Linked DNA regions of Rattus norvegicus. The protein of the gene in region 5 interacts with the protein of the main gene of each other region in a biochemical or structural test. Links are inferred from orthologs where the notes say so. Each region holds a gene or a part of one and is shown on either strand. Other genes may lie near its edges. The genes, in order: Map3k2, Ndfip2, Pparg, Gabarap, Nedd4, Ube2e1 and Scn5a.

Region 1 (4,328 bases), on a different chromosome or scaffold from region 5:
GATTTCTCTTAGTAACCCTGGCTGGCTTTGAACATTTCTAGGTAGCTGGGATACAGGCATGATACCACCTCTGGCTGTCTGTGGTAATTTGTCTTGGAGCAACAGAGGACTCAGGTAGCATGCCTCTTGTCTGAAATCTTCCCTTACCTCCTCAGGCACATCTGTGACATTTTCCTTCCCACTGCTATGCCACCTGGTACCCCTGCCACTGTGAAAGTCGTCCTGGGTTAGAATTATCCTTTCTCTTCTCTTAAATTTATTTCTATGAGTATGGGTACTTACCAGCATGCGTTTTCACTTAGCTTCTACAGATATGGGGTAAATATCCCTGTTCTTCTGCAGTTGCTATCTCTATCATTGGATCTATAATGAAAATTCCTGAACAGAGATGCAGACGTTTTGATAGTATTCAACATTTGCCCCTTGAGCCTGTTGTCAGGCCAGCTACCTCGAAAGTTTGGGTCTCTTCTGACCCCTGGGCTTTGTGTGTGTCAGCTATACCATCTCTCTCATGTCAAATGCTAGGGTGGGAATGTGGTCTGCTCCAAGCAGGAAAAGGGATCAGACTGTTCTGATAACCAAGGAGGAACGGTACAGGAAATTATAAAGGGTATTGGAGGCTAGATGAGGCCGAAAGGGTGTTGGGTGGGTTTGCGTATTGTAAAGACCTCAGGATGCTGTCACATCACCGAGAGCCTCCAGAGCTATCTAGCTCACTGATTAATCTGTGTTTTATCTCTTGGGCCAAGAGGAGCAAGAGAAGGCGTTGGTGAAAGATTTCACTATGTTTTGATCCGGGCGTGTGATGTCAAGTCATCTGTGGTAAATTGGATAAGTAATAACCTAGTGGATCAACCAGAAAACACTTAAAACTAGCTTGCTACCAAGGCTGTGGTTTAAGGACAATACAGTGATTTCTAAAATCACCGCTTCTCCGCGATGCCGCTTCTTGCCTTCCGTACGAGTGGGGGTTGGTGCAGGGGAACCCTTTCCGCGTAACTCTGACGGCCAACATTATGCACATGCGCAAAACTCAGTAGTCCCGCTGCGCGCGCACCCCGTCTGAAGCCCTGGAAACGTCGAGCCGTCGGTGAGACCTGAGTGGGCGGAGCCGGGTGTGCTGCGCAGAGTAGACACTGCGCAGGCGCCTGCTAGCTCGCCTCAGCCGGGCGCGCGGTTGCGGCGGGTTCCGCTGTCGGCGGGCGGAGGGGTTGCGCGCACACGAGCGAGCCGCCGTGACGTGCGCCGCCGTGCTACGCCAGACATCACGGGTCTGTGTGTAGTGGCGGCCCGGCTGTCCTCAGCCGCATCGCCTGGCGAGGGTGGCGCGGCGTTCCTGGGTTGCGGGACCGGCGACAAAGAGGACCGACAGAGAACGATCTGGTCGCAGAGTCGCCGCTTCCGCTTAGCTGCTTCTCCGGTCACCCGCGACGCGGGCCCGGGGCTTCCTCCTCGTCGGCCCAGTTTACTCGGCGGGCCCCGGGGCTGCATCTACCCAGAAGCAGCGAAGAGGCCCCGGGCTGCGCGCCCGCTGTCCCATGTGAAGCAGGTTGGGCCTGGTTTCTGCTGCGGCCCTTCAGGCCTCGGGGACCCCGCGAGGCGCTGCTCCTGGGGGGCGCGGTGACAGGCCGTGCGGGGGCGGAGGGGTCAGCTCCGTGGCCTCCTCTCGGCCCTCCGCTCCACGATCCCCGCCCAGAGGCCGGTAAGTGTTTCTGGTTCAGCGTGCGACTGGGCCCACGGACGGGAATTCCGCTGCAGGGGGTGGGAGTATCGGAGGTGGGGATAGCCCTGCCTGGCTGGGGTTCACCCCAGAACCCCCAGGTCTGTGCGAAGTGGGCTGGAGAACTGTTAGACTCGTACTCCGCGGGAATTTTATTCTAACCAGAAGGTTGCCACTAGCTGGTCGAAAGGAAACTGAGACCGACGTGCTTTAAACCAAAAAAAAAAAAAAAAAAAAAAAAAAAAAAAAGGTGCTTGTCTTTGGGATGTCGGAGTGGCAGGCTGTTGATGGAGGTTGTTTCCCCTTACCTTGGAGCGGTCGGCCAGCTCTCCGCGTGCATATACTTTGCTCTTTTGCTTTTGACTTGTAGGTCAACTCTTCTCACCTTCCCAGCCCTGCGAGACGAGTATACATACATTCTACTAGCTTTAAAAATGAAAAAAAAAAAAAAATCAAGGCTCAGTGAGAAAAAGGTATAACTTCCAAGGTCATGCCAGTGGTTATCGAAGAAGTAGATATGTTTGTGTAGGGTCTTCGTTTCACCGTCCTGCAAAAGTTAAGTACGTTAGGGAAATGAGATTGGCTGAAGAGTTTGTCCCTGGTTGTAAATTCAAAACAGCTATCGAGATAGCGAGATAGTTCACATTTTTTGATTTAAGTTGCTGGATATATATTTTGTCACAGCTCATCCCCGTCGTTTAGTTTTCAAAGACATTACTTGTGGAAAAAGTGGTTCTGTGCGTCCTTATAGGTGTACAGGAAGATTGTACAGAAAACAGTTTACCATCTTACTGAAAAGAAGAAATATACTCGATGAAACTGCACATTTTTTCGAGGTTATGTTTTATTTTTGCACTTTGTTGTTAATGTGTGTAGGAAACTCACAGGTTATCTTCTTTGCCTGAGAATTCCTTCTTGCAAACTTGGTTGCTGGGTTATGTGGCAATGTCAGTATTTATGGTGACTTTTCATTGTCTTTTTTTTTTTTTTTTTTTGGTTCTTTTTTTTGGAGCTGGGGACCGAACCCAGGGCCTTGCGCTTCCTAGGCAAGCGCTCTAACCACTGAGCTAAATCCCCAACCCCTACTTTTCATTGTCTTAATGTAATATCTCAGGGTTTAATGTCAGAAGTCAATGTGTAAAATATCACGGAAGGTGATCATTTTGTTGGCATGGTTTATGTGTCTATGCAAGATGCTACTAATTAGTTGATAAGCTGACAGAAAATTCTCATTTTAGTGAGTAAGCAGAGCTGGTCCTCTTTACAGAAGAAAATGCTGATAAATGCCTTTCGAGTAATTGAAGTTTCATGTCACTGCAAATGCTCAATTATAACGCTCAAATTTCATTAGCATATCACACCTTGATGGAAACTTGTAGTTGACTGTCTTTGTAATAATGTGTAGGGAAGAGGTCACATTTACAGCGTTAACAGGTGAATGGCTTACAGGCTGGTTTGTTTGGCTAAAATACAGACGTTTGTTGAAGTAGGTTGAATTTGGTGTCATTGTAGAATGGTTGTCCAGTCATGTTCTCAGTGTGTCTGGTTGGAAAGACTAGCTGTCAAGAGCTTATCTTAAACGATGATGAATTGAGATGGAATCTTTTTACGTGGTGTTTTAGGTGGAGCGGTGCTCCCTAGCTGATGGCCGCCAAAGGGACAGACTTACGATAGTAGATGCTGCATTGCATTTAGTGTGCTTCTGCTTCTGTTTGTTTCCCGCTTTGGAAAACTGGAGAGCTTTGGGTCTCTCCTCTACAACTTTTTATCATGAAGGCAGTTTAAGCATAAAGAAATCTGTCAGCGGTAAACAGCTATATGGCGACCCTCTCCACTCAACGTTTGTTGATAGCTTGCTGTATTTAATGTATATTAGTTTTGGTTGAACCGTTTGAAGCTCAGCTGTTGACAGTATGTGTGTCAGCTTGCTTTGCCCAATGACAAGGGCACTTTTTTTTTTTTTTGGCATGGTAAAATACTGTTACTGTTCATTTTCTTCAACATGATAAATCCTTAGTTTAGTTAAAACAACACAAAAACTTATGTGTGTGTGTGCATGACTGTGGAGGTAGAGGGGGCACCTAGAACTAACGCTGCAGGTGGTTGGGAGCTACCAGATGGGTGCTGAGAACCAAAAGAGTCCTCTTCAAGGCAGCCCGTGCTGTGCTCCTTCTTAACTGATAACCCCAGCTCTCTCCTCCTCCTCAGTGTGAGCTAATACCACACATGTACATCTCTCACATTGTTGTGAGAAGGTATTTAGAGCATTGTACAGACTTTCTTACCCAAACCCGACTCTTTTCAGACCCTCCTTGTGAAATAACATAAGAGACCAAAAATTCAGCTATCTTAGCAAATGACTCACATTTTGCATTTGTCAGAAATTTTCCTTCCAGTGAAGCCAACTAGTAGGTCTTTTCTCTACCCTACTTACACTAGCTGTTGATCGTAAACTAGTTTTAAGGAGTTCAAGAACAAGAATGCCTGGTAGATTATACTTAGCACTGCTTCCCATCATGAAGGTCACACTGTCTAGTCCCTTTACTTCTTGATGCTGTTGGTCATGTGGTTCAGGGAATTATAGTAAGACCTGTTGCCTACTACATTC
Region 2 (3,802 bases), on a different chromosome or scaffold from region 5:
ATAGAGCCTTTCCCTGCACTGTGGGTTAATGATTAAGGAAAGGCACATTTCAAAAGCACAAAGGTTTCTGTGATCCAAAAACAAGAAGACAGCATTGCATGCAGAAACCCTCCTACATGCTACATTGTCATTAAAATTATACACGTGTGTTTCCTAAGATAATTCATAAAGATAACTATTTTAATTAGGTAGAAACTTCAAACTCTGTAGCACTTACTTATCGTCCCAGCACCTCTGTTCCCTCCGTTGCTAAGGAGCTAAGTGGGGGCAACCTTTACACTAGAATTAGTTCTGCACACTAGGAAGGAACACAACTTACTTGCACTTTATAATTTTAGGACTAGCAGTTAAGCTGAGCAATAAAGAAACACTATTTTAAACTGTACTGCCTTAAGGAGGAACGCTGCTCTGGGCTCAGTCAGTCAGAGAAGATGCACGGAACCCTCAGGAGACTGGAGGCCCCAGGGAGGCTAGAGGCCTGAGGGGAGGGGACGTCCTCAGGAGACGGGCAGGGAGAAGGTATGGGATCTGGAATGTAAATCTGTAGTATAAAAAAATAAAAGATTAAATAAAAAGGAATATAAAAAAATAAACTTACCAAGTACAAGAAATATCCACCAAAGCCAATATTGTCCATTGAAATAGCCAGTAAAATAGTCCGAAAACTATGGGGTAAACATAAATATATTAATCATATTTGTATAACTACATTTGAATATTTGTATTATCCTAGGTTTCAGAATAAATTATCTCTTTAAATAATCTTTAATGCTTAAAAATAGCATATAAAAACAGCACAAAAGGAAAGGGCAGGAATAATACTTAATGGTGAAAAAATTCTTATGCGATTGTAAACTTCCGTAAAGTACTTTATAAACAAAACCTCCAAACTGCTTGCAAAAAGATAAATGCCTAAATGTTATCTATTGGAATCAAACTTTTTTTTTTCATTGAAAAGTCAGTTTCTTATGCAGTCCCAAAGCCACAGCCACATCCCAAATGGGCCAGAGCCACCTGCTGCTTTGGGTATTAACACAAAAGCCACAGTAGGTTAATCTTATCAGATGGGGATGTTCTGGTGACCTCTAAAATGGAGAGTTTTTGACCTTCTGTTACACCCCCTACTGTTAATCACTGCCAAAAATACTAGGCACAGAAAGACCCCCCAACTCATTAGAAACTTTTTATTTCAAACTAGATGCCTGACATTCAGCTCCCAACAGTGAGCGGAGAATAGCTAAATGAGCCTCGAAGTGGCATTTCAACAGTGGTTGCTGCCGGCCATGTCCTGTGTGAGGTGGGCCTTCAGCAGGTGGCCTCACAGCAGAGAGCACAGGGGCCTTCTCTAGAGCAGACACTGCACTCTCAGAGCCTGGTAGTACATCAGTGCAGCGTCCTTAGCAGGTAACTCACACTACATCTTAAAGTGCCTCCAAATAATTACTTTTAAGTGTTTCAGATAACATATTCTAAAAGTTACAAACAAAAAAGATAGTTTTGATTGATTTCTTTCTACTGATTTCCAAATTGAATCCAATTTACCTAAAAATTGTGAAAAAAGGTAGAATGATGCTTGAACCTGAAATTAATTAAAAGCATTTCCAATGATTTGTTGGTAATTTCTATAAGAGCTTAAAAATCTACAGCTTTGGTAATAGTAAAAGTACAAATTATACATGGTGTTGCAACTTGGGAAGCATATAAATCAAGATTATCAAAACATGTCTTTAAAACCTCTGAAGTACTTTCTTTGGAAGAATTTTAAATTAATCAAGAGCTATTACCTACGGTCTACGCTAAGAGTTTTAAAGATTCACAAGAGTTTGAATATCCCAGCCTTTGGAACATCTAAACCACCATTGCTGCAGACTCCCACATATAAGACACACAATGAGAAAACGATAACTGAAAAACCACTTTATATTCAAGAGAAGTTTCCTAAGAGTCTTAGAAGCTGTGGAAAACAAAAAAGGAAAGGCCCACAACTCTGTTTTCAGCACTCCGCATGTTACCTGACACTCAGCAAGCAGAATGCCAATGAGAGTGAGGTTCTAAAACCCCCAGGGTACAGGCCATACCGGATGGACGGACTTCCTTTCTGTGTACCAGGAATCACGCTAGCAAAGCATCAACTTAGGAAACTTTAGACAGTAGGTTTGAATTGTTTGCTATGTTCAATGAGAAATTCCATTTGAGTAATAGCAACAGTTCTAATACAGCTAAGTCTGAACAAACGTAACTCAACTCTTTTCAGTTTCTCCAGCAAGAAAATCTGCAAGAGGATTGTAGCTTTGTCACTGTGTATATACACCATCTAGCTGATTTAAGCTCATGGTAGAAACTCACAGGACATCATCTGAAGTAAATTTAAAACAAAAAACTATCAGAGGACAGTTCTCATAATGGTTCAACCGTCAATCATGTTATAATAGACCCCAAAAGATTAACAGTCAGAAACCTACAGTCTGATATGTACCAGTGTAGGAGTTGTGAAAAGAATCAAAGCTATAAAACAAGTTCAAAACTAATAAAAATATCATTCTGAGTATTAATATTTGTATAATGGCTACTTTAATAAATTATACTTGTTAATAAATTAATAAAACATCTGAAGCATTTAACAGAAACAAACATTTAGACCTGTGATTCTATTGACAACTTTAGCCAAGATTTAGCTCTTTCAACCAGAAAGCAATGTCTAAGTACTGATTATTTGTATAGTTTACATACTCTAGTAATTGTGTAACATTTAAGATTCTGTGAACAGACTTGTGATCTCGGTTTCGTCACACACAGAACTGCTCTTACAGTATGCTTCCGTGCTCCTCCCAGGTGTAGTGGACAGGAGTGAGTATCCGTATGCCTCTATGGATAAACGTGGTTTTGCCACGTGTGGCTTGTCTTTGTGATTACACACTTTACTCATCTGACTTTTCTTAAGCCTCAAAGTATAAACTCTGACACTGAATGACGCTGGTTACTGCATTAAGACTTTAGTCCTCCTCATTTTCAGGCTCCATTCTCCCAGCGCACTGGCTTTAGAGTGGTAGACACACAGCTTCGCAGACAACATGACACAATGAATAAAGCTACCCTTGATCACCCTTCTAGGTCCATCCTTGAAAAACCCAGGAGAGACTGCAGAAATGGCTCACTATGTAAAGACACTTGTCACCAAGTCTAATGAACTTGAAAATCCATATGGTAGAAGGTAAGGAGGAAACCATCGAGATGCTCACCCTGACAATAAGGATCCATTTGATCAGTGAGAGGCCAAATCCACAGATAGCACCGTATCTTCCAGCTATGGTATTGGTGATACAGAAGGATAAGCAGAATCCAAGCCAGTTGAATATGAATGCCACTGCAAATAACAGAAATATGATTTAAGGTCATAATTCCTACACAAATAAAGAGAAACATAGTAATAACAATACTTCATTCACTGCTAGAATGAAACCACTTTATTTTAACTTTATACGTGGGCTGCTCTTAGAGACCGCGCAGTTTGCTGTCTGCAGATCTATCGGTTACTAAGCAAATAAACTTCACCCCATGGGTCATCGCCGAAGTCAGGACAGGAGCTCAAACGGCAGGTCATGATGCACAGGCCATGGAGGGTGCAGCTTGCTTGCCAGCTTCCTTCCGCACGGCTCTCCTCCTGCTTCCTTGAACTCAGGAGCACATGGGCTAGGCCCTCCCCTACTGATCACTAATTACAAAAATGGCCTACAGGCTGATCTTATTCTGGGATGTTCTTAATTAAGGTTCCTTCTTCTCAAATAACTTTGGATTGTATCAA
Region 3 (4,076 bases), on a different chromosome or scaffold from region 5:
TTCACCAACTAAAATCTACTCTTCCACCTGGGACTGTGGGCCAGGACAACCACTGGCTCATTAACTCAGCCAGCTGAGAGCCCACTGGGCATCCATCCACTGGTGGCTCAGCGACAGCAGAGCACTGCTACTTCCTGGGCACAGAAGGAAAGAGAATGCAGTGCGACAGCACAAGGGAAGGGGGACTTAAGTGATAGTGTTTGGATCAAATGAGCCCAATCCTGTAACTATATAACTATCCAGCAATTGTGACCTCAGACGCTGAGAGCAGAGGTGGTCATAAGGTGCTATGGGGCTCAGAGTAACAAGATGAGGGCAAGAGAGGAGGGGTGGGGAAGAGGCATTCCACCCCACTGGTGCTCCTTTTGAAGAAGCAGCTGATATTACTACAAAGTGAGGAGGCTTCATGCGGTAGGCACTGAGTCTCTGTAGATTGTCTGATGGATCTAGATGTTGGAGGAAGTTGGAGTAGAAGTGCCTTGCTGCTGTTAGAGCAGAAGGATAACTAGGGAAACTGAGATGGGGGAGAAGGACAGTGGCAGATGAGAAGGATATAAAGATGTGAGTGAGTTTATGGTGAAGGGGGAAGAGCGGCCGTACTTAATAGAGTAAGCAACCTGCAGGGTTAACCTTAGGAATCAATGCAAGTTGCTGAATGTGTCCTAAATGTTGTAGATGAATCCATTTTTAGTAGGTCTTAAAGAGAAAACCCATAAATTCTAGCAAACACAGTAAGCTAAGAGTACAAGAACCAAAACACAAACCCTTTACTCAGAAATTTCAAAGCAGCAGGTATGGTAGAGCACACATTTGATCCCAGCACTCAGGAAGCAGAGGCAGGCAAATCTCTGTTCTAGGACAACCTAGTTTACATAGTGAGCTCTAGGCTAGCCAGAACCACATAGTAAGACCCTGTCTTGAAAGAGATTGGGGATTTGGGGGGGGGGAGAATTTAAAACATACTTCCAATAGCTCTTGGGTTAAAAGATAATAAAGCCAACATTCTGAGATAGGCTATTCTAAAAGAACAATGAGAGCCTGTTCCTGAAGGCCTGTGGGATGAAACCAAAGTGACACTGGGGGAAAATTTAGAGCCCTAATGAGCTCATGAGAAATCCTAAAACTAAAAGAGCAAAGCACTCAAATCAAGAAGTTAGGAAAGGAGAGGAAAAAAAAGGAAAGAAAGAAAGATGGAATATATTTATTTTTAAAGGAGTTAAACATTGAAAAAATATAACTTTAAGTTGATTAATAAAACTAAAGGTTATATTTTAATGAAAAAAAAAATAGGGGGCACAGCTGAAGAGATGGCTCCGTGATTTAGAGCACTGACTCTTCTCGTAGAGGGCTCAGATTCAATTCTCAGCACTCGCCAGTAGTTCACCCCCATTGGAATCTGATGCCTTGTTCTGACCTCCAAAGGCAGCAGGCCTGCCTGTGGTGTGCATTCCTACATGCAGACAACACACAAAAACTAAAATAAATAAGGAGCATAGAAAATCTTAAAGAAAAATAGATCTTTTACAAATAAAATTTTAAAATGAGAAAGCACGCAAAAAGCATTGAGTTAAGAAGCATAAAAAGGGCAGATTCCATTAGTTTATAAAAAGGGAGAAGAAAACAGAAGAAGGACTGGTTGAAGAGTGAAAGTATTCTGCTGGGCTGGGAGGGGGCCATGAGGGCAATGGGAGGGAATATGGTCAAAGTGCATGCAGTGCGTGTATGGAAATGTCATGATGAAATCCACTCACCATTATGCACAATTTTTTAGTTAATAAAACCGTTTCAAGATATAATAAAAATAGATTCCAGATTATACTAGAATATCATGTACAACTTCATCCTAAAGAATTTATTTGTCTTACTTTGTACATTATAAAAAACCTAGGTGGATGAAAAGTAATACAAGAAAAGTCAAAGGTAATGAAGGACTTGTTACCACGGCCAGAGGGCTCTTCAAATGAATTCCAAGAAACCTCAAAGGGGCAGTTAAAACTGAAGGGAAAAAACTAACAAACAAACAAAACAAAACAAAACAAAAACAGCTCCACTCATAAGGCTGGTTCCCAGTTACTACCCAAACAAGCAATGGCTGGCTCAGATGGTAACACTCCTGACCACATCACCCACAGATATTACGAAGCCCCAAATAAGCCCTTAACAAATGAGTACAAGGACATAAGGTGTCTGTTAATGTAATCCGCTACATTAGGTTAAGATAAGATTGCATCTTTTCAGATTTCACATCTCTTTAGATAGAAAATTTTAAAAGCCATCAATAAAATTTAACCAACATTCCTGACTAAAACAAATTTAAAACTTTAAAATACCTGGAAAACCAAATCAAATCATATTCACCACAATCTACAGCAAATGTCACACTTGTGGCAAAGCAGTAGCTACTTGCTTCACGGTCAGGTAAAACTGACACAAGGGTTTCCTAGCAAGTGGTTCAGAGGCTACCCTGCAGAGAGGGGAGCATCCCTCCAAAGTGCAGCAGTCCTTTATCTTGCTGGAAATGGGATGTGCTGTGCTAAGCAAAAAACAAGTGTAAGCAAGGCTTACACTTGAAAATCTTATTTGAAGCTGTTATGAGAATGTAGGTAGAAGTTATAAAAACAATCATCCAGAAGGAGCAAAGATTGGAAATGTGATTTCAGAGAAGAGAAGCATGTTGACAGAGAGGCCTTGGATAGAACACCTTGGGATGCCCCTGATGGTGTCACCGCACTTAGTCCTGGCTGGGAAGGGCTGGAGCTTTTGATTCCATCCTTAGGTCTTGCCATTAGCTGCAGAGTTTTACTTCTCAAACCCGCTTAAGATATATGGCAGAGATGGGGCCTTGGCTCTGCGGTGGAGCATGCGCCCAACAGCTCAAGGTCTGGGTTTCACCTCCAGCCCGGAGAGGGAGCCGGGAGCCTGAAGCTGCACAGGTTAGAGCCAGCCCAGAGGTCTGATGAAGCCTCTTTCTCTTCTCGTTCTCCCAGACCGCCCAGGCTTGCTGAACGTGAAGCCCATCGAGGACATCCAAGACAACCTGCTGCAGGCCCTGGAACTCCAGCTGAAGCTGAACCACCCGGAGTCCTCCCAGCTGTTCGCCAAGGTGCTCCAGAAGATGACAGACCTCAGGCAGATTGTCACAGAGCACGTGCAGCTACTGCATGTGATCAAGAAGACGGAGACAGATATGAGCCTTCACCCTCTGCTCCAGGAGATCTACAAGGACTTGTATTAGCAGAAAAGTCCCAGTCGCTGACAAAGTGTTCCTTCTATCGATTGCACTATTATTTTGAGGGGAAAAAAATCTGACACCTAAGAAATTTACTGTGAAAAAAGCATTTAAAAACAAAAAGTTTTAGAACATGATCTATTTTATGCATATTGTTTATAAAGATACATTTACAATTTACTTTTAATATTAAAAATTACCACACTATAAGATTGTTTGTGGTATTTAAAGAGTGGACGTATGCCTCCCATTCAGCCATCACAGATTTGGGGAAGGATTTCCCCCATTTTATTTCTTTTCTTCTTTCTTTCTTGTTCATTCTTTGACATGCATGTGTGCTCGTATGTATGTTTATGTGTGGGGGTGCTGTGCATGTGTATGGAGGCCCAGGGGCAGCTCTAAAGCTGGCTCCTTCTCAGGACTGTCACCTTCCCACTTTGAGACAAGGTCTTTCATTGGCCTAGAATCAACCAATTAGGTTAGACTAGCTGGTCAGTGAGCCCTGAGGAGCCTCGTGTCCCCGCCTGCTCATTGCTACCCTGCCTAGCATTTTTAGATGAGTGGAGGGGAGGGGTTGAACTCAGGTCCTCATGCTCTCTAGGCTTCACAAGAATCCAAACTTTTTCCATGACTCTAACAGAATCTTCACTTATCACCAGCAACCCGTTTAACATGTGGTCATCCCTCCATAATCATGGGGTCTGGTGCCAGGTCTCCTCCCGAAGGTACCAAACCCCACAGGTGTTCACATTTTGATAACACGATATGTTGCAAATAAACTACGCACCCTCCCCCTATCATTTGAACTCTCTGTAGATACCTACGCTGCCTAACACATTGGCAATGT
Region 4 (4,569 bases), on a different chromosome or scaffold from region 5:
TCCAGGTTCACTGCTGATGTCCGATCGGTGCTGAGCCGAAACCTTCACCAACATAGGCTCTGGTGACAGCTGCTCCCCCTCCACCTGAGTTGGGGTGGAGGGGAAAGGGAGGGAGAACTCTTCGGACGGCCGTCTGTAGCCCTGTCCAGTGTGAGGACTGCCTGGGCAGAGTCTGCTCCTCCCGCCCCTCTCTGCCCTGGGAGCCCTACACTCCGCTTACGGAGTCAGGATGGACACATGGGCCAGACTGTGAAGCAGCCTCACTCTTTGTGTTCACACTCCGTGGAAATGCCAGACTGGGACAGGCGAAGGCCTAGGGGAACCGAAACCGTCTGGTGAAGAGGCAGGACTGGCCAGAGTGACAGACATATCCCAGAGGCTCAAAAGAAGCCAATTCAACTTTGTTGTGATTTGATTTTTTAAAAACTCTTATACAAAACTGATCTAATTCTTCACTCCTGCTCCAAGGGCTGGGCTGTGGGTGGGGACTGGGATTTCGGGCCACTGGATCTTCCTCAGTCTTGTCCCTTCCTTACTTTTCCTCATTTTTTTTCTTTCCCCAACCCCCCAATACCTGTAATCAGCTCCTTTCTTCCTTCCTCTTTTAAACCATGCATTATAACTTTGAAACCAAAGCTGCCCTAGATCCTTCTCTGATGTTTTTGGAGGGAACTTTGTTACATTTGCTCTGCCTCTGAAGCAGAGGGGCAAGATGCTGTTTGGAGTGCGGAAGTGGGATTCAGCACAGGGATAAAGTAATTTATGCCGGTGTTTGGCTGGAAAAGCCCCACTGACTGGATAGAGTCCCTGATGCACAGTGGAAGAGCAACTTTAGGACATAGAAGGCTGAAGAGGAAAAAAATCTAGAACCCTCGAAGGGCAAACAGCTGGAGAAAGGCTGGGCTTGACTGGGAAGTTGACGTGGACAGGCTGAGAGGGCGCTGCCTACGAGCTGTTGGCACTCCGGCAATAACTTGGGGCGGAGCCCTCTTTCCTGGCACCTCCTCTCCAGAGCCGGGACTACATTTTGGCCCTCGCCACGTGATTCTCCGCCCTTTTCTGAGGTCACATGATTTTGTTTGCAACACTCCGGGATGTGTTCCTCCGCCCTGATATAGTCCCTATCTTTGGGATTTTTGCAGTTTCTATTGGTCCGCCTGAGTCTTGAGCCTTCGCTGTGTCTGCAAACCTCTTTCTTCTCCGTCTTATGGTATCCTTATTCACACCTTGGGTACTACTTTGTTTTGGTGTCAACGGCCACCTTCAGCGTAGCAACACGTTTCATGAATATCTAGACTTGTAATTGCCTTTCCCTAACGTAATTTCCGAAAATAACTGCAGAACTAAATCTCACGACTGCCACTTAGTACCACTCTCGTCCTCTGCTTTGTACTGTGGGGCTACCTGGGGAAGGATTTTTCAGTTGACTTGAAACGACAGCAACCTTATCTGCGATGTCATACGCGTAACTCACAAATTGATTCCAAAGCAGTTACGCTGAAGGCGTAAGAGGACGGAGCAGCGGGTTGCGCTAGCAAGCTGAGCTCGTGGTGTATGTCAGCAGGCGGGGCCGGTCCGGACGGTCGGGGGCGGGGTTGGTGAATAGGGAAGTGGCGCAAATTCGTGGATCGCTCCGCTGAGTCTGTTCGTCGAAGCCGCCTCCGCCGCCGTCCCCTGTCCCGGCCCCCCCCCTGGGTTCCCTCAGCCCAGCTCGGTCCAGCCCGGTTCTCGGGAGAATGAAGTTCGTGTACAAAGAGGAGCATCCGTTCGAGAAGCGCCGCTCTGAGGGCGAGAAAATCCGAAAGAAATACCCAGACCGGGTCCCGGTAAGGACTAGCCAGGGCCGACGCTAGCGTCGCTGACGCTGTCGCCACAAACTAGGCTTGAGTCTGGGAAAGCCGAGGTCAGACTCCAGTCTGCCTTGAGGTTAGAACTCTTGTCTCTGGTACCAAGGGCGAGAGGTCTGAAGAAGTAGAGCTGGGAGTGCGATGTGGACGGGAGAGAGTGAGACCTGGGAATTTCTCAGAATGGAGGCCTTAGTGAGCTTGACAACCAGAGTTTCCATGGCCATGCTCCCAAGTAGCTAGATTTAAGGTAGATTTTTTTTGACCTAAACAAGTTATCCTGTATTCACTGATGAAAATAGTTATTGTGATGAACCGTTCTGGGATCAATTCTCAATATTTAGGTAAGACAGTGAGGCCAGGATCTCTGGACCTAATGTTGATACACCACGCATGTAAGGATAAATATTATTAAGAAATGAGATTGCAATAGGCTTCAGTACAAGGAAATATTGTACCTTGAGTTCTTCATCGATATAGCTGTACGTTTTTTAAAATCTCATTCGTACCTTCCTTTCATCAGGTGATAGTGGAAAAAGCTCCCAAAGCTCGGATAGGGGACCTGGACAAAAAGAAATACTTGGTGCCTTCTGATCTTACAGGTGGGAGCTTGACCCATGGTGTATGTTTCTTTCTGTGGGTGGGCCTGCCATCTCTGTGGGAGGAGGCTTCACCTGGCAGCTGTTTTCTGGTGGCACCTACGATCTCTTTGACTTTCTTGTATCTCCTGTTTTTGGGCAGTTGGTCAATTCTACTTCTTGATCCGGAAGCGAATTCATCTCCGTGCTGAAGATGCCTTGTTTTTCTTTGTCAACAATGTCATTCCACCCACCAGTGCCACGATGGGTCAGCTGTACCAGGTATAGTACCATGGCCGTGTTTGGAGAGGAAAGAAAAGGTCAGCAGTTCCTGTTGGCTTACTAGCTTTAAAAGGTCAATAAAGTCCTGGGTTGGGATCTTAATAGCAGTGGGAGGAGAGAGGGTATGAGCTGGTGGAGTTGTTTTGACTGGGACTCTTACTACCTAAGGAAGTCTCTTTCCCTTATCCAAGAGTCCCAGATGTCAAAAAAATAGTTTGAGGAGTGGTGGTGTTGTTGGTTTTGTTGTTGTTGTTGTTGTTCTTTTTTCTTTCGGAGACAGGGTTTCTCTTTGTAATCTTGGCTGTCCTGGAACCCCCTCTTGTAGACCAGGCTGGCCTCTGAACTCCAGAGATCCACTTGGTTTTGCCTCCCTTGGGCTAGGCTTAACAAAAGGTGTGTGCCACCACTGCACTAAAACTTGACATGTAGACCAGGCTGACCTCAGGCTCAGAGATCTTCCTGCTTCTGCTTCTTGAGTGCTGGTATTAAAGGTGTTAGAAGTTCCAGTCCTGAATAACGACTGATAATGGTGCACACCTTTGATCCTCTAAGTCCAAGCACAGTTTTAATCCGATCCAGGCTGCTGGATTTCTTGGAGTTTGAGGCTATCCTAATGAGTCAGAGATACTTAGTGAGACCCTGTATCAAAAATAAGAAGTAAAAACAAAATAAAACAAATCAAAAACACCTTCCCCCCCAAATTAAAAAAACCCACAGAACCACTGCACGTTGGGTGTGATCATGCCACAGCTTCAGTCCCAGCGCTCCGGGAGCAGAGGGAGGTAGATCTCTGAATTCCAAGGTCAGTGTGCTCTACACAGGGAGTTCCAGGGCTACATAATGAGACCCTATCTCAAAAGCAAAACCTCTAAAAGATACCCCCACCCCCACCCCCACCCCACAGAGCAAGCAAACCCTTGAGAGGCTGAGGCAATAGTATCAAGTTGGAGGTCAATGGCTGCATAGTATAGTGAGTTTGAGGTCAGTCTTTTTCTTTTTTGTATTTTCCAGACAGGGTCTCTGTGTAATAGCCTGGTTGTCCTGGAGCTCACTCTGTAGACTAAGCTAGTCTCCAACTCACAGAGTTCCTCCTGCCTCTGCCTCCAAAGCGCTGGGATTGACGGTGTGTGCCACCACTGCCCAGCCAGGGTCACCATTTCCTAAAGGAGCAAGAGAATAAGGACAGTCTGCTTTTCTCTTATTCCTTTTGTACTAAGGAGCATGTCTGGTACCTACAAATGCTTATGGATGATCTGTACCTGTAGATCTATTTTGAGTCAGGTTCTTAAGTTGCCTTGGTGGCCTTGAGATTTCCGTCCTTCCTGCATCTGGAATTACCAGGCCATGCTTAAAATGATTCTTGAGGAATGTATTGGTGATAAATGGTTGGAGTAATGAGTTGCCTTAAACCTCCTTTTTGCTTTTACTTCAGGAACACCATGAAGAAGACTTCTTTCTATACATTGCCTACAGTGATGAAAGCGTCTACGGTCTGTGAAGTTGCTGTCCCGGAGGTGGGGGTTCCATTCTACAAAGAGAGGTGGCGCTCCTTCCTTGGCATCCAGTTCCTCCTTCAGGCTCAAACACCATCTCCTTTCTTCAGGACCTGCACTTAATGTTTGAGGCTGTCTCTCCAGTCCCTCTGAGCAGGAGGGGTAATGGTAGATGCAGCCGCTGTACATCTCTCTTTCCCCTTGTTTACCCTCCATTCCCACTCTGCTTTAGACTTCTGGATTGTCGATCTCTGTCACATCGGATGATTGTTTTGGTTTCTATTCCCTTTCTAACTGCCCACTGGGCTCAGAACCCCAATAAACCCTTCCTTTCACTACCTTCTTTTTGGGGGGTAGATGGAAGGGGTTGAC
Region 5 (3,802 bases):
CAGCCCCATGACCCCGAAATAAGACTCAGACTCAGCATACATTTACATACATTTACATGGACCCTGGCCTTATAGTTAGGATCTTCTCTGAGGAGAATTAGAACTTAAGAGAACTTTATTCTGCCACGTGGCTGGTTACCTCTGCTCAGGTGCTGTGTGGCAGTCTCACTATATCTTCCTGGGCAAATCTTCCTGCTCTGGCTGTCTTGCACAGTTAGAATCTTACTGGGAAGTGGGGACAGAGGGCACAGTGAGACTAAGCTGGGGACTAGAGGAGCAGAAAAGAGCTATGAGCAAGTAGCTGTGCCTGTGGTGAGAATGAGTGTCTTCAGTCCTGAGTGGGGCTGACGAGGAAAACGCAGGAAATTAACAAAGGTGCAGTTGACTCACGATTGGGGACTTAGGCAGGATTACTGCAGGTCCCAGGCCAGGACAGGATTCAGTAGGTGAAGGAGAGGAGGAGGAGGGAGCAACAGAAGGGGTGAGGCCCGCTGAGGGGGCTCACCTCCTGCAGTGGGCCTGGCCAGGATGGGGGATGGGCTTCTGTCTGCCTCAGTCTCCTCAGTACGTGTAGAAGGAATGAAGAGGGAGGAGGGAGGATTTAACATAGCCACTTTGAGAAATAAAGACAGGACGGCCACATTAAGATCACAGTGAAGGGTTGTTCATGAAAGTATGCTGGCAAGATCTGTGTAGGAGTGAGTGTTCCATCCACAAGATGCTTGAGCGTGCCAAGCCTGCTAACCAGCTTTGGGCACATTCCTTTCCTTCTAGGGATTTTTTGAACTGATACCACAGGATCTGATCAAGATATTCGATGAAAATGAACTAGAGGTAACAACTGTTTGTGCTGTGCTTGGGAATGTAGTTCAGTGTTGAGCAGTCATGCAGGCCCTGAGTTCAGTCCTCAGTGCCACTGGTGTGGAGGCGAGGGCATGGAGGAGTGGGGAGGAAGGGAGAGTATGGCAGTTTGTGGAGAGAAAGTGGGGAGGAGGAGGGAGGGTGTGAAGCCGTGGGCGCCATCCGCAGCACGGTGTAGAAGGGTGTGGTGGTACATACCCATTAGCCAGCACTCGAGGGGTGGGAGCAAGACCAGTAGTTCATGTCATCCACAGCTACATTGTTTGAAACTAACCTGGGCTACAGGGACCCTGTCTTTAAAAAGAGAACTGGAGGGCCCACAAGATGGGAAAAGCACCCTCCACCAAGCCTGACAGCCCGAGTTTGACACCTAGAGTGGAGATGGACTCCCACAAGCTATCGCTAACTTCCTCACTCACAACATGACATAGACATGCTGCAATACATATAAACATGCAATAGAACAGGGCAGCAAAGAAAATGTTCTGTGTTAAAACAGCTTTGGCTGGATGTAGCGATGCATTCTTCCATTCCCAGCACTGAGGGACAGAGGCAGGTGACCCTCTGAATATGAAGCCAGCCAGGTCTATACAATGAATTATAGAACATCCAGAGTTATGTAGTAAGACCCTGACTCAGGAGAGGAAAAAACCCAGAGCTTTGCACCGGTTTTCCCTGCTCACAGTTCTGACTGCGTGTCTGTCTGTCTGCAGCTTCTCATGTGTGGTCTGGGAGATGTGGACGTGAACGACTGGAGGGAACATACAAAATACAAAAATGGATACAGCTTAAACCACCAGGTCATCCACTGGTTCTGGAAGGTAATCTGAGGTTCAGTCATACTACGCCACCTGTAGAGTGACTCTCAGAGTGTGTCGCACTCTGAAAAGTGCACCAGCAAAGCAGACAGGCCTCTAATTTTGCATAAATGCCTTTGAATGTGAGTCTACCCTTCTTGATATCCAGAGGTAAGTACGGAAGGCATTCAGAATCGTAGGAAATGAGCTGAAATAAGCACATCAGTTTTCACCAGTGTGAGGACTGTCTCGAAGAACTTGTAACATGGCTCTTCTAAATTCTTAGATATGTGACTTTTAGTAATATGTAATTATTGTAAAGGTTTTTTTTTTAAGTGTGTGTGTATACGTGGTTACATGAGTTTATGTCACATGTGTACAATACTAGTAGAAGCCAAAAGGTGTAAGATCCCCTGGACGTACAGACAATTGTGAACCAACATGTGCATGCTGGGAACTAAACCCAGGCCATCTGCAGGAGCCGTGAGCATTCTTCACTGCTGAGGCCCTCTCCATTTCTGAGGGAAAAGCCTTAGAAATAAGTTTTTTGAGAATAAGAACAAAACCTTAGTGATTATTCTCTAAACTCTAATGACTTTTGTTTTTCGAGATAAGGGTTCTCTGTGTAGCCCTGGCTATCATACTAGAACTCATTTTGTAGATCAGGCTGGCTCTGAACTCAGCGATCCACCTGCCACCACCACTGCGGGGTGGGGCTTGGGGTGTCAAATGGTTTTTCCAAGACAGTTTCTCTGTTATTTTCAGTACTCTTCTCTAGCAGAAGTCTTTCTGTTTTTCAGGCTGTTTTGATGATGGATTCAGAAAAAAGAATACGCTTACTTCAGTTTGTTACTGGCACATCCCGTGTGCCTATGAATGGATTTGCTGAACTCTATGGTAAGAGTCCTGTGTAGATTCTCAGAAGTGCACAGAAGCTGACTGTTATTTTCATAGCTGAAGAGTCTTTAAGTTTCTACCATTTCAAGTCTAGTTTAACTTTTAAAAATTTAGTTGAAGGCTTGGGAGACAACTTGATTGGTAGAGTGCCAGCCTAGACCAATTGGCAAGCTGCAGGTAGGTAAGAGACCCTGCCCTAAAAAGAAGTGGATGATGTCACTACCTTCTGTCACTACTACTATCTTGGATAGTGACCAAGAACCTGGCATGTGGCTGAGTTACTTTTCGCCGTTGAGCATTGAGCTGCGTTCTGTAGTCCCAGAAACAGCAGCACCTCTAGCCCAGTTCCTTCCTTCCCAAGCTTCCTAACGCTACAACCCTTTAATGCAGTTCCATGTGTCATGCTGACTTTCGTTGCTACTTTATAACTGTAATCTTGCTACTATTATGCATCATAATATAAACCTTTGTTTTCCAGAGGTCTTAGGTGACCCCTATAATGGGGTCGTTGCAACCCACAGGTTGAGAACCACTGCTCTAGCATACTGGGTGGAGACAGCAGTGAAACAGCGTTAGCTGACATCTATGCCATAGTAGCCTTGGAGGATACATAGACTACACTAAAGAAAGTCTAATTCCCTCTTACCCAAGGACTCTCTTCCTGCTGCTTCAGCTACCACAGACATTCAGTCCACAAATCCTAAAGGGCATTTCAATAAAGAGCAGAGAGCGTAGTCACACGCCTGATGTGAGGTGTGCATATATGCACACCTCCAGCAAACACAGATTAGGAAGAACTCAACGATTTCTTAGGAACTTGTTAAAAAAATAAAGTTAAATTAAGAGTAAGTTTTCCCAAGCTTTCTTGAGCAGAGAGTCCTTTTGTGATTTGGTGTGAGGTGTGGGTAAAGCTTCATTCTTGTGGAAGATGGGGGGATCCCAGATAAGATCACACATAGCTCCCACTCTCCTTTCCTTTTATTTTTCATTTTAGTTTATATGTAATCGTGTTTTCCCTACATTTATGTCTTTGTACCATGTGCTTGCCAACGGAGGCTAGAAGAGGATGTCAGATCCCCCAGTGCTACAGTTATGGGAGGTTGTGAGCCACACAGTGTGGGCTCCTAGCAGCTGAGCTCTCTCCAGCCCCAGGACTAAAAGTTATAGTGGGATCTGATCATAGAGGACAAAATATAGAAAGTTACGCCTCTTGAAAACCTTCTGGCAATGATGCGTGCACATTTGGA
Region 6 (3,802 bases), on a different chromosome or scaffold from region 5:
TCACCAAGCATTTGGCAGAAAAATACCTCTTTCTAAAGTGAGCACTGGCTGTGGGTCAGGGCTCAGCGAACCCCATCAGAACTGCAGCTGAGCTGCGCCCAGCCTTAGTGATGAGCCCAGAGTAGTAAAGTGGCTGCGTTTCCCACCAGTGCGCTAAACTCTTGATCACAATGTCCTTTGAGAACCTGGGTCTTAGCTTGTGTTGAAAACAAGTACTTTGTCATTTACTAAGAAATACAGTGCAGGTGACTACAGTCTTACCAGGATTGCAGTCTGTAAGGAGTGAGCAGATAGAGAGGAGGACTTTCGAGATGGTTAGTGCTGGGCTCCAGTTGTCTTTCAATATGTCCAAGCAGATAACTCCTTGGCTATTAATATTACAGTGATAAATTCTTGTACGAAACGTAACCTAAAAGTAAGGCAGTTGTTAAGCAGCATCAGGTAGGGGCATTAGGACACTTCAGGCTAACCCCTCCATCTCACTCTACAGCAGTGACCACTGCTCGAGGCGAACAGTCCACACTTCCTCCCTTCTCCATCAGGCCATCCTGGTGCCGTGTACCCCACACTAGCTGCAAACTTTTGATCCTCCCCTCTGCTTCTGCTTCCAGACTGTAGGATGACATATGTGTGACTAGTAGCATCTGGCTTAGTTTTAATGTTTAGACATCAATAGGTCTAAGTTGTTGGTTGTCTGCTGGCCTCTTGTGTTAGCTGGAAGGAACACACTGCTCCGGAGTCATTAAGTCTAAGAAGCTATAAACAGCAATCTTAAGTACTTACCCTGGAAATGCCTATGACCAATCACCAGTCATCACATTCACTTACACTAGCAAACACTGCACAGCAGGAAGCTAAGCTCTTCCGACCTACACAGCAGATCTAGACTGCACCGCAGTCCACACAGCTCTTCCAACATGGAGGGGACTGGGTAAGGAGGCGTCAGTGGCCAGCAGCACACACGTGGAAGAAATCTGGCTTTTGTGAGTACATTGAAAACTTTAATCTTTCTCAAGGACAGTTAAATGTGAGAAGACACAGGAGACTCCTTACCTTTGGAGGCTTGAAGGGATACTCTGGTGTAAAAGTGATGTCGAGGAAGAAGACTCCACCTTCATACACAGACCCTGGAGGCCCCAGAATGGTTGATCTCCACTCATAGATGTTGTCACCTTTGGGACCAGCACTGTGAAGTAACACACGAGCAGATAGATAAAGACATGGTGATGCTGGACCAGAAAAGGAAAAAACCCCTTCCCCTCATCCTTTGAGTTTAATGTCTGGTTCTCTTCATAAGGAGATTTTGGTATAAAGACATTGTCCACCAGTCAAGTAAGCCATGACAGAACACCAGGTCCACTCTAAACACACTAGCTACAGCTGGACACACTTTCCTCAACTCTCAGACGTAGTACGGGAAACAACAATAAAGATCCGTGTCTCGGAAGCTAAGCTGCTGGCTACTCTGCTCTGAAGAAACTCAGGACAAGTCTCACTCAGTAACCGGCTCCTGCCAGCGCTTCTCACCAGGCCCCATGCTAACCACCTCCCCCATCTTCTCGCCATTGCTCAGCTATCTTGGCTATGGCTCCTTTGGTCCACACCTCCGGTTTCCCTCTTGGTCAGCTCGCCCCACCTTCCTTCTTTCCTTCCTCCCCATCCAGTCTGCTAGTTAGGTTCAGTCTGGACTTCCCAGATGTCTCTGCCTGTTCTCACCTCTTATCTACAATAAGACCTCCTCCTCAACCATACCTAGGAGTGATCATGTCCTCATTTTTGACTCAGTGACAAGTTTTCTCATGGCTACATCATTTCTTAGAACCTTTTAAGTAACCAGAATCTTTTCCTTAATTAAAGTGCTTAGCAAAGTTTGGACCCTGGTGATGCTGATAAATTCTACACAAAGACGTACAGCATTGATTTCCAGCCTCCTCGTGTACACATGTGGACACAAACACACACACTCAAAACTGCTTTAGCTATAGATCACGTTACACTCCTCCACTTCTGGTCCCCTGAGACAGAGTAGCTCGGACTGTCTTGAAAGTCACAGTCCTCATTCAGCTCCCATGAATGCTGGGTCATGGGTCATTCCAAGTTGGTGACTATACTTCTTACCTTATAAAAACTGAGTGAGAGGGGAATGTCAAGTCCGTAATCCGTTCTCACTCAGTGTTAGACATGGACTCTTACTAGCCATTAACCAAACCCGTTCTTGTTAAACATACTTGGTTGTACCTTCATTTGGCTACATCATCCTTCTAAAACATGGCATTGGCTTCCACTGCTCTGTATTCAAGCACCTTAGCAACAGAGTGAAAAAGCTTACCCTCCGATTCTGAGACCTAGAGAGTATAATGCTTTCTTTATAATCACAAGGTGTAGTACAGGGAAAGATTAAAAGATGATTTACTTCTATTTATGTAGTGAGAGAGTGAGTAAGTGAGTGAGAGTGTGTGTGTGTGCACTCATGCATGCCCCCCGCCCCCCAGCACACACTGCCTGATCTTAGAAGTTAGAAGAGGGCATGAGATCCCCTGGAGCTGGAGTGACATGTGGTTGCGAGTAGCTTGACACAGATGCTGGAAACTGACTGAATCCTCTGCAGGAGAATCGGGTGCTCTTAAGTGCTGAGCTATCTCTCCAGCCTCCAACAATATCTTAACCAGCCCTATCCTAGGAATAGACTCTGACTCCTCTGGAAAAAGATGTTACCTTTACTGCTTCATTTACTAAGAACAGAATGGGTTCTCAATTATCAAAGGTTAGCTTGTTTGTGTCCCCTGCTTAACCTACAGTAGGATGGTGACTAGAAGGGAGATTGGGCCCTTGGGGACAGTTACGTCAAGAAGTCATATATGAGCTTAGTGTCTTAAAACAGACCTCACCACCAGAATGTTAGCTTCTTACCTGCCCCCTGAGGATAGTGAAACAAGACATCTGTCTGGAAATTAAGAAATGTTCCTCACTACACTAATACTGTTAGCACTTAGGTCTTGGATGCCTCATCCCAAACTGATAGAGGAAAGCTAAGCCCTTTAAAATGCAGTCAACACCATTCCAAACTGCCATCTAGAACTATTCTTTGTCAGGCTGGCAAGACTGAAGAGTCAATGTGGTGGACAGAACCCACTTTCCATGCACATGCGGACCAAGCTGTCCTTGAACTTGGAGACCCATCTATCTCTACCTCCAGAGCGCTGGGACTGAAGTCAGGAGCCACCGCACCCAACATTACACTTAAAAAAAATCAAGAACACAATTATCTGTTTAAGAAAAACACTGAGCTCCTAGGGTTGAAAAAAGGACTGTGAAAGTAGACAGGTAGACATCAGCAGGAAGTGAGAGTAGAGAAAAGGGCCCTGATATCCATGTTTCAAAACAGAGCCCAAGCAATTTCTGACATTCGTGATCTGATTGCTACTCCATAAAAGTGAAGACTCAGTCCCCCAAGAGCAAGACTGCGAAGACTGCCAGGGCCAGAGGCCAGCCTCAGACCTTCCCCAGCTCTGAGGTCACTTCTGGATTGTTACAGCTGGGATGGAGGGCACTCTAGTGCCTGGCAGGTAGAGGTCAGGGATGCACTAACCACCCTGAAGTGCACTTGACAAAGCACAACGCATATTAAACCAGCCGCAGATCCCAGCAGTCCTGAGGCTGGGAAGCCCTGCCTTGGATTCTTGAATAATGTTGGTCAGGGAGTAGAGACAATTGTGAGCACAGCTCAAGTCAAGCTTAGAAAGGATAAATGGTTTTAGCTGATTACAAAACAGCTACCGCTTTACCCCTCAAGTGTGCTGTA
Region 7 (4,243 bases), about 46 Mb from region 5:
AGTCTGTGTGTGTGTGTGTGTGTGTGTGTGTGTGTGTGTGTGTGTGTGCTTGTGCGCGCTTGCCCGTGTATGTGTGCGCGTGTGTGAGTGCATATGAGTGTGTGTGTGTGTGCCCGTGCGTGCGCGCGCGCGCTTATATGAGCCATGCATATCCTGGCTCCCAAACCCAGAACCTCAGCACCCTTTGAAGGCTTTACCTTCCCAGAGTACTTGTCTCCTAGCAGTTTGACAATACTGCAGAGAAATCAAACCTCGGGACAAAGGACAGAGTGGGTGTCTGTGTGCACCTCTGTGTTCCTGTGATAGCCCTGGACACTGAGTCGCTCAAAATGTCCTATGGTAGTGGCCTCTCATGTTTAAATAAGGGAGATGTGGGTCTGTGGGTCTTTCTGTCTGTACAAGCGAATGTATGAAGCTGGACCAACATGTGCACGGTTGTCTGTCCACGTGTATGAGTGTCTGTGACGGTATTCTTGTAGGACAGTCAGTGCTCCTGTCAGTGTGGGACTTGGTATCCCTCTGTGGGTCAACTAGAAGGCTGAACACGGGTCAAGAGGGTGAGTGTGTGGAGGTATTCGTGTCTGTGGGTTTGCTAGTGTTTGCTGCTAGTGTGTTTGAAATGGAGTCTGGGGGTGTGTTTGATTTCTGTCTGAGTTCATGTGTCAGCATGGCCATATAAATATCTACAACGCATGGGTCTATGTACTGTCATTCTATCTCTAGAAATGTGGCTCTAAGTGTTCGCATGTCAGTGTGTCAGTGGATGTATCTCTAAGTCACGTGGTATAATTAGGTTTATCAGTGATTGTTCCTCAATGCCAGTGTATGTCAGTGGTGCCTGTCTGTATGTGTATGTCCATGTTCATATGTGTGTTGGTATCTGTATCTGTGTGTGTGTGTGTCAACGTAGGTGCATGTGTGTCAGTGTGTCTCAGCATGGATGTCAGGTCCTGCCCATGTCCATGTACGTGAATAAGTGTGGATAAGTGAGGTTTGGGTTAGGGTCCCCATATCATCGAGGAGGGGTGTGTCTGTGTACTTTGGCTTGGGCGACGTGTGTGCCAACGTTTGTCGGTGTGTGCCGGTCCAGGTCTGCGTGGGTGGCTCTCTGTAGCGAGGCGTCCGCAGGTCGGCGTGCGTCCGCGTGTCTGTCTGTCCGTGTCCGCGTGGGCGGCCGTCTCCAGCAGGGCGCACCCGGGGTCAGAGTGGTGGGCGTGCGCCCCGCCGGGCAGGGTGGCTCTCCCCGCGAGCCAGGCGGGCGCAGCGCCACGTGCGGAGCCCCGGGCGCGTCGCTCTGGGGCGGAGCCAGCCCGGGGCCCCGGAGCCCCAGGCCGAACCCAGGCGGGGCCCGCCCCCGACCCCGCCCCCAGCCCGAGCCCGCGCCGCCCGCCGAGCCCGGGAGCCCGAGCCGAACGGCGGAGCCGAGACGGCGGCGGCGCCCGTGGGATGCGGGGATCGCGCCCCCGGGGCCGCTGAGCCTGAGCCCGCTGCCCCAAGCCCTACGCCGAGCCGAGCCCGCACCGCGCTGCAGCCGCCCACCCCGGGGCGCGGGCCGGGGACCATCAGGTGAGCGATCACCCCCTGTGTCCCGCAGCCCCCCGCGCCCCTCCGTCCGCCGCCGCCGCCCAACTTTCCTCCCCGATGGCCCGGAGCCGCCCGGCCGGGTCCCCAGCCCCCGCAGCCGCTGTCCCCGAGGGGGGAGGGGCGGGAGAGGCGCAGGTGGCCCGGGCCGGGGTTCCCCTGTTCGTCTCTGATCGCCGCGGGTCTCCTCCCGTCCCCTCTCCTTCCGGGTTCCCCGTGCGCTGTCGAGGGCCGGGGGATGGGGAGCTTCGGCCCCAGCTCCGGGACCATCGCTGGCGCAGACTCGCCAATGGGCTGAGATTGGGACCCGGATTCCCGAGGCCGGAGACCCCAAGGTCAGAGCAGCGACAAGGCGCGCGGAGAATGTGGCTCTCGAGAGCTGGGGGTGAAAGGGTTGAGCGGGCACTGACCAGGACTAGGGAGCAGGCCGAGCGCTCGTTTTCCCTGGGCCCCGGGGGTGGAGGAACTCGGCACCCGGGTTGTGCCCTCGGTTAGACGAGATCGCTGCACCCTTGCAAGGAATCTGTGCACTCTATTGGGGGTCAGATCTAAGAGTGCGCCCTGTCTTTGGGCGCTCCCACTACGCCGAGATCTTGGTGCCCTGTTGTCGCCTTGAAGCGGTCGGATCTCCTCTTGTCTCTGTGCGCTCGGAGAGGGGAGAGATCTCTGGACTTGGAAATTCGGCAGAATTCTTTACCCTCCTTGCTTTGACCTGGACAGACTCTCGCACCCGGACAGGAGAGGGCTGAGGTCCCCGACTTCTGTGTTATTTGATCGTCTTTGGAGGTGCCTTGAGAGGAAGTGGAGGTGCCTAGCCTTGTTTGAGTACTGGTGGGGACAGTGATGTGGTGGGGACTGGTAACCGTGGTGCTCACGATGGGAGGAAATGCTCAGGATGAGGCCTGGCTGTAGACAGGCCTTCCAAACACCTGTTGGAGGGCAGCTTACACGGAACAGCCGTGGTACTCGACCTAGTCTCCTTAGCGACTTCAGTCTAGTGGGATATGGGATCAGTGTGCCCTTGGGGACGTGAGTTGCCCCTTCCAGCAGTGACCCCCAAGCACCAAACAGAGAAGCACAGAACGGGCCTCCACAAACCCCAAACCTTCTGTAGATTCACTGTCATTCAGAACTAAGAACCCCCCAACCCTGCTCCCCGTGCAGCCCCAGCCCTGGACCACTCCTCCACTTCTCTACCTGTCCCTTCCCACTTAGAATCGGCTGGGTGCACATACATGATGGTGATAGCACAGGAGAGTGAACTGAAGGTGGGACAGACTGCTGCCACAGAAGCAAGACACAGCCAGATGGAGCACGGGACACTGGGTCTTTGCTAGGATGTTCAAGGTTCCGAAACTTTCACCACAACCACACAGGTACTGAGGCCCAGAGGAGTCAAGAACTTATCCAAGGTCACACAGAATCATTGGACTGGGGAGGACCCACAGGGTGAAAATCCCTTGGAATCTATTTCTTGGGGGTCCAAATTTGACCTAGAACCAACCAAAGAGGGTCTAAACAGAAAGAAGAGTGGCCCTCAGGTGCTAAGAACCCCCCTTTCAAAGCCTGATGTGACACGGACAGCTGTCGCCCTCTAGAGAGCCTAGTCCCTGTGTGTGGTGGCCATCAGAACTCCCCTGGAAGACTTCCAGGGTTGACTCACTTGGCATGAAGAACAAGCATGGAGGAACAGTGGGAAGCACCAGAGACAGCTGGGGATGGGGGAGCGGAGGAGGCTGGCGCTGAGGCAATCAGTCCACAAAGAGGGGGCTCCTGGGGGCAACCTGCAGCCGTGAGGAACCACAGCCCCCTTTGCAGGACTCATTCCTGACCTTGAGAAAGCTTTCGGAAGAGTGCAGTGGCAGAGGCTTCTCCCCAGAAACACAAAAGAGGTCTCGATTTTGATTAAGAGAGTCGAGGCTGTTGTTCTAGCCTAGATAACCTTCCGCCTGGGTTTTGAAGCATGAACAGAAGTTTTCCGATTGAGGACGGTGCAGTTCAGTCACCAATCAATCAGCACAACATACAGGGGGATAAAACGACAGTTAGTAGAGCGATCTGTTGGGCCCCATGTTATGAGGAGGAACCAAGGCACGGTGGAGTGGGGGGGGTGTGCAAGCTCTTCTCATGAATTGGGAATTTATCCTCAGTAATGTTTCTAAAAATAGCTAATAGGCACTGAGTGCTTTCTGTAGACCAGGCCACACCAGGTGCTTCATAGGGTTCCTCTCCCAGAGTGTCCCAGGTCAGCCCGAGAGTGGGGACCTCAGTCACAACCATTCTGCAGATGATGAAACTAAAGGCCAAGAAGGGAGAGCAGCCGGGTCATGGCACACATCTCTCAAGTAGTCGGACTCTGCTGTACGGGGGCCTGTGCAGACTTAGAGAGCCCTTCAGCTGAAGGGGTGCACCAGGCAGGCCACTGGTGACACCCGGTGGTGTCATCCACGGAAAAACCTGTCACTGTGATACCCATGCCTTTCTGGGCACTCAGAGCTACCCACCCTTTACCCTGTATATACAGTGAGGGGCATGGGTGGGTGAAGTCTGAGTGGTCAACCTTTTCTGAGCAATTTGACTTCCATTGAGCATTAGAGGGAAGGCTCCGAGAAGGAGGCTTCCTGAAGGAGCTGGGTCTGGAGGTAGGTGCTCCAGAAGGGCA

The links.
Region 1: the proteins of Nedd4 (region 5) and Map3k2 form a complex in vitro, tested with the Homo sapiens proteins (2 studies listed by BioGRID and IntAct, with this or other methods). The link is inferred for Rattus norvegicus from reciprocal best matches to the Homo sapiens genes NEDD4 and MAP3K2.
Region 2: the proteins of Nedd4 (region 5) and Ndfip2 form a complex in vitro, tested with the Homo sapiens proteins (3 studies listed by BioGRID, with this or other methods). The link is inferred for Rattus norvegicus from reciprocal best matches to the Homo sapiens genes NEDD4 and NDFIP2.
Region 3: of the proteins of Nedd4 (region 5) and Pparg, one has a biochemical effect on the other in vitro, tested with the Homo sapiens proteins (2 studies listed by BioGRID). The link is inferred for Rattus norvegicus from reciprocal best matches to the Homo sapiens genes NEDD4 and PPARG.
Region 4: the proteins of Nedd4 (region 5) and Gabarap form a complex in vitro, tested with the Homo sapiens proteins (2 studies listed by BioGRID and IntAct). The link is inferred for Rattus norvegicus from reciprocal best matches to the Homo sapiens genes NEDD4 and GABARAP.
Region 6: the proteins of Nedd4 (region 5) and Ube2e1 form a complex in vitro, tested with the Homo sapiens proteins (7 studies listed by BioGRID, with this or other methods). The link is inferred for Rattus norvegicus from reciprocal best matches to the Homo sapiens genes NEDD4 and UBE2E1.
Region 7: the proteins of Nedd4 (region 5) and Scn5a form a complex in vitro, tested with the Homo sapiens proteins (3 studies listed by BioGRID, with this or other methods). The link is inferred for Rattus norvegicus from reciprocal best matches to the Homo sapiens genes NEDD4 and SCN5A.

The regions. Positions count from the first base shown.
Region 1 is NC_086036.1:24,080,184-24,084,511, forward strand, and holds the start of Map3k2 (mitogen-activated protein kinase kinase kinase 2), read left to right. Parts: upstream 1-1,260; 5' UTR 1,261-1,702; intron 1,703-4,328. UniProt on the Homo sapiens protein: Component of a protein kinase signal transduction cascade. Regulates the JNK and ERK5 pathways by phosphorylating and activating MAP2K5 and MAP2K7. Plays a role in caveolae kiss-and-run dynamics.
Region 2 is NC_086033.1:88,491,729-88,495,530, reverse strand, and holds part of Ndfip2 (NEDD4 family-interacting protein 2), read right to left. Parts: intron 3,365-3,802; coding exon 3,240-3,364; intron 666-3,239; coding exon 599-665; intron 1-598. UniProt on the Homo sapiens protein: Activates HECT domain-containing E3 ubiquitin-protein ligases, including ITCH, NEDD4, NEDD4L, SMURF2, WWP1 and WWP2, and consequently modulates the stability of their targets. As a result, may control many cellular processes.
Region 3 is NC_086022.1:150,217,669-150,221,744, forward strand, and holds the end of Pparg (peroxisome proliferator-activated receptor gamma), read left to right. Parts: intron 1-2,987; coding exon 2,988-3,235; 3' UTR 3,236-3,436; downstream 3,437-4,076. UniProt on the Homo sapiens protein: Nuclear receptor that binds peroxisome proliferators such as hypolipidemic drugs and fatty acids.
Region 4 is NC_086028.1:55,211,835-55,216,403, forward strand, and holds the start of Gabarap (gamma-aminobutyric acid receptor-associated protein), read left to right. Parts: upstream 1-1,630; 5' UTR 1,631-1,736; coding exon 1,737-1,826; intron 1,827-2,367; coding exon 2,368-2,446; intron 2,447-2,585; coding exon 2,586-2,704; intron 2,705-4,136; coding exon 4,137-4,202; 3' UTR 4,203-4,569. Other genes in the region: Ctdnep1 (CTD nuclear envelope phosphatase 1), read left to right, coding at 6-66. UniProt on the Homo sapiens protein: Ubiquitin-like modifier that plays a role in intracellular transport of GABA(A) receptors and its interaction with the cytoskeleton.
Region 5 is NC_086026.1:82,341,042-82,344,843, forward strand, and holds part of Nedd4 (E3 ubiquitin-protein ligase NEDD4), read left to right. Parts: intron 1-774; coding exon 775-834; intron 835-1,574; coding exon 1,575-1,682; intron 1,683-2,458; coding exon 2,459-2,555; intron 2,556-3,802. UniProt on the Homo sapiens protein: E3 ubiquitin-protein ligase which accepts ubiquitin from an E2 ubiquitin-conjugating enzyme in the form of a thioester and then directly transfers the ubiquitin to targeted substrates. Specifically ubiquitinates 'Lys-63' in target proteins.
Region 6 is NC_086033.1:9,919,002-9,922,803, reverse strand, and holds part of Ube2e1 (ubiquitin-conjugating enzyme E2 E1), read right to left. Parts: intron 1,187-3,802; coding exon 1,054-1,186; intron 410-1,053; coding exon 262-409; intron 1-261. UniProt on the Homo sapiens protein: Accepts ubiquitin from the E1 complex and catalyzes its covalent attachment to other proteins. Catalyzes the covalent attachment of ISG15 to other proteins. Mediates the selective degradation of short-lived and abnormal proteins.
Region 7 is NC_086026.1:128,193,651-128,197,893, reverse strand, and holds the start of Scn5a (sodium channel protein type 5 subunit alpha), read left to right. Parts: upstream 1-1,423; 5' UTR 1,424-1,566; intron 1,567-4,243. UniProt on the Homo sapiens protein: Pore-forming subunit of Nav1.5, a voltage-gated sodium (Nav) channel that directly mediates the depolarizing phase of action potentials in excitable membranes.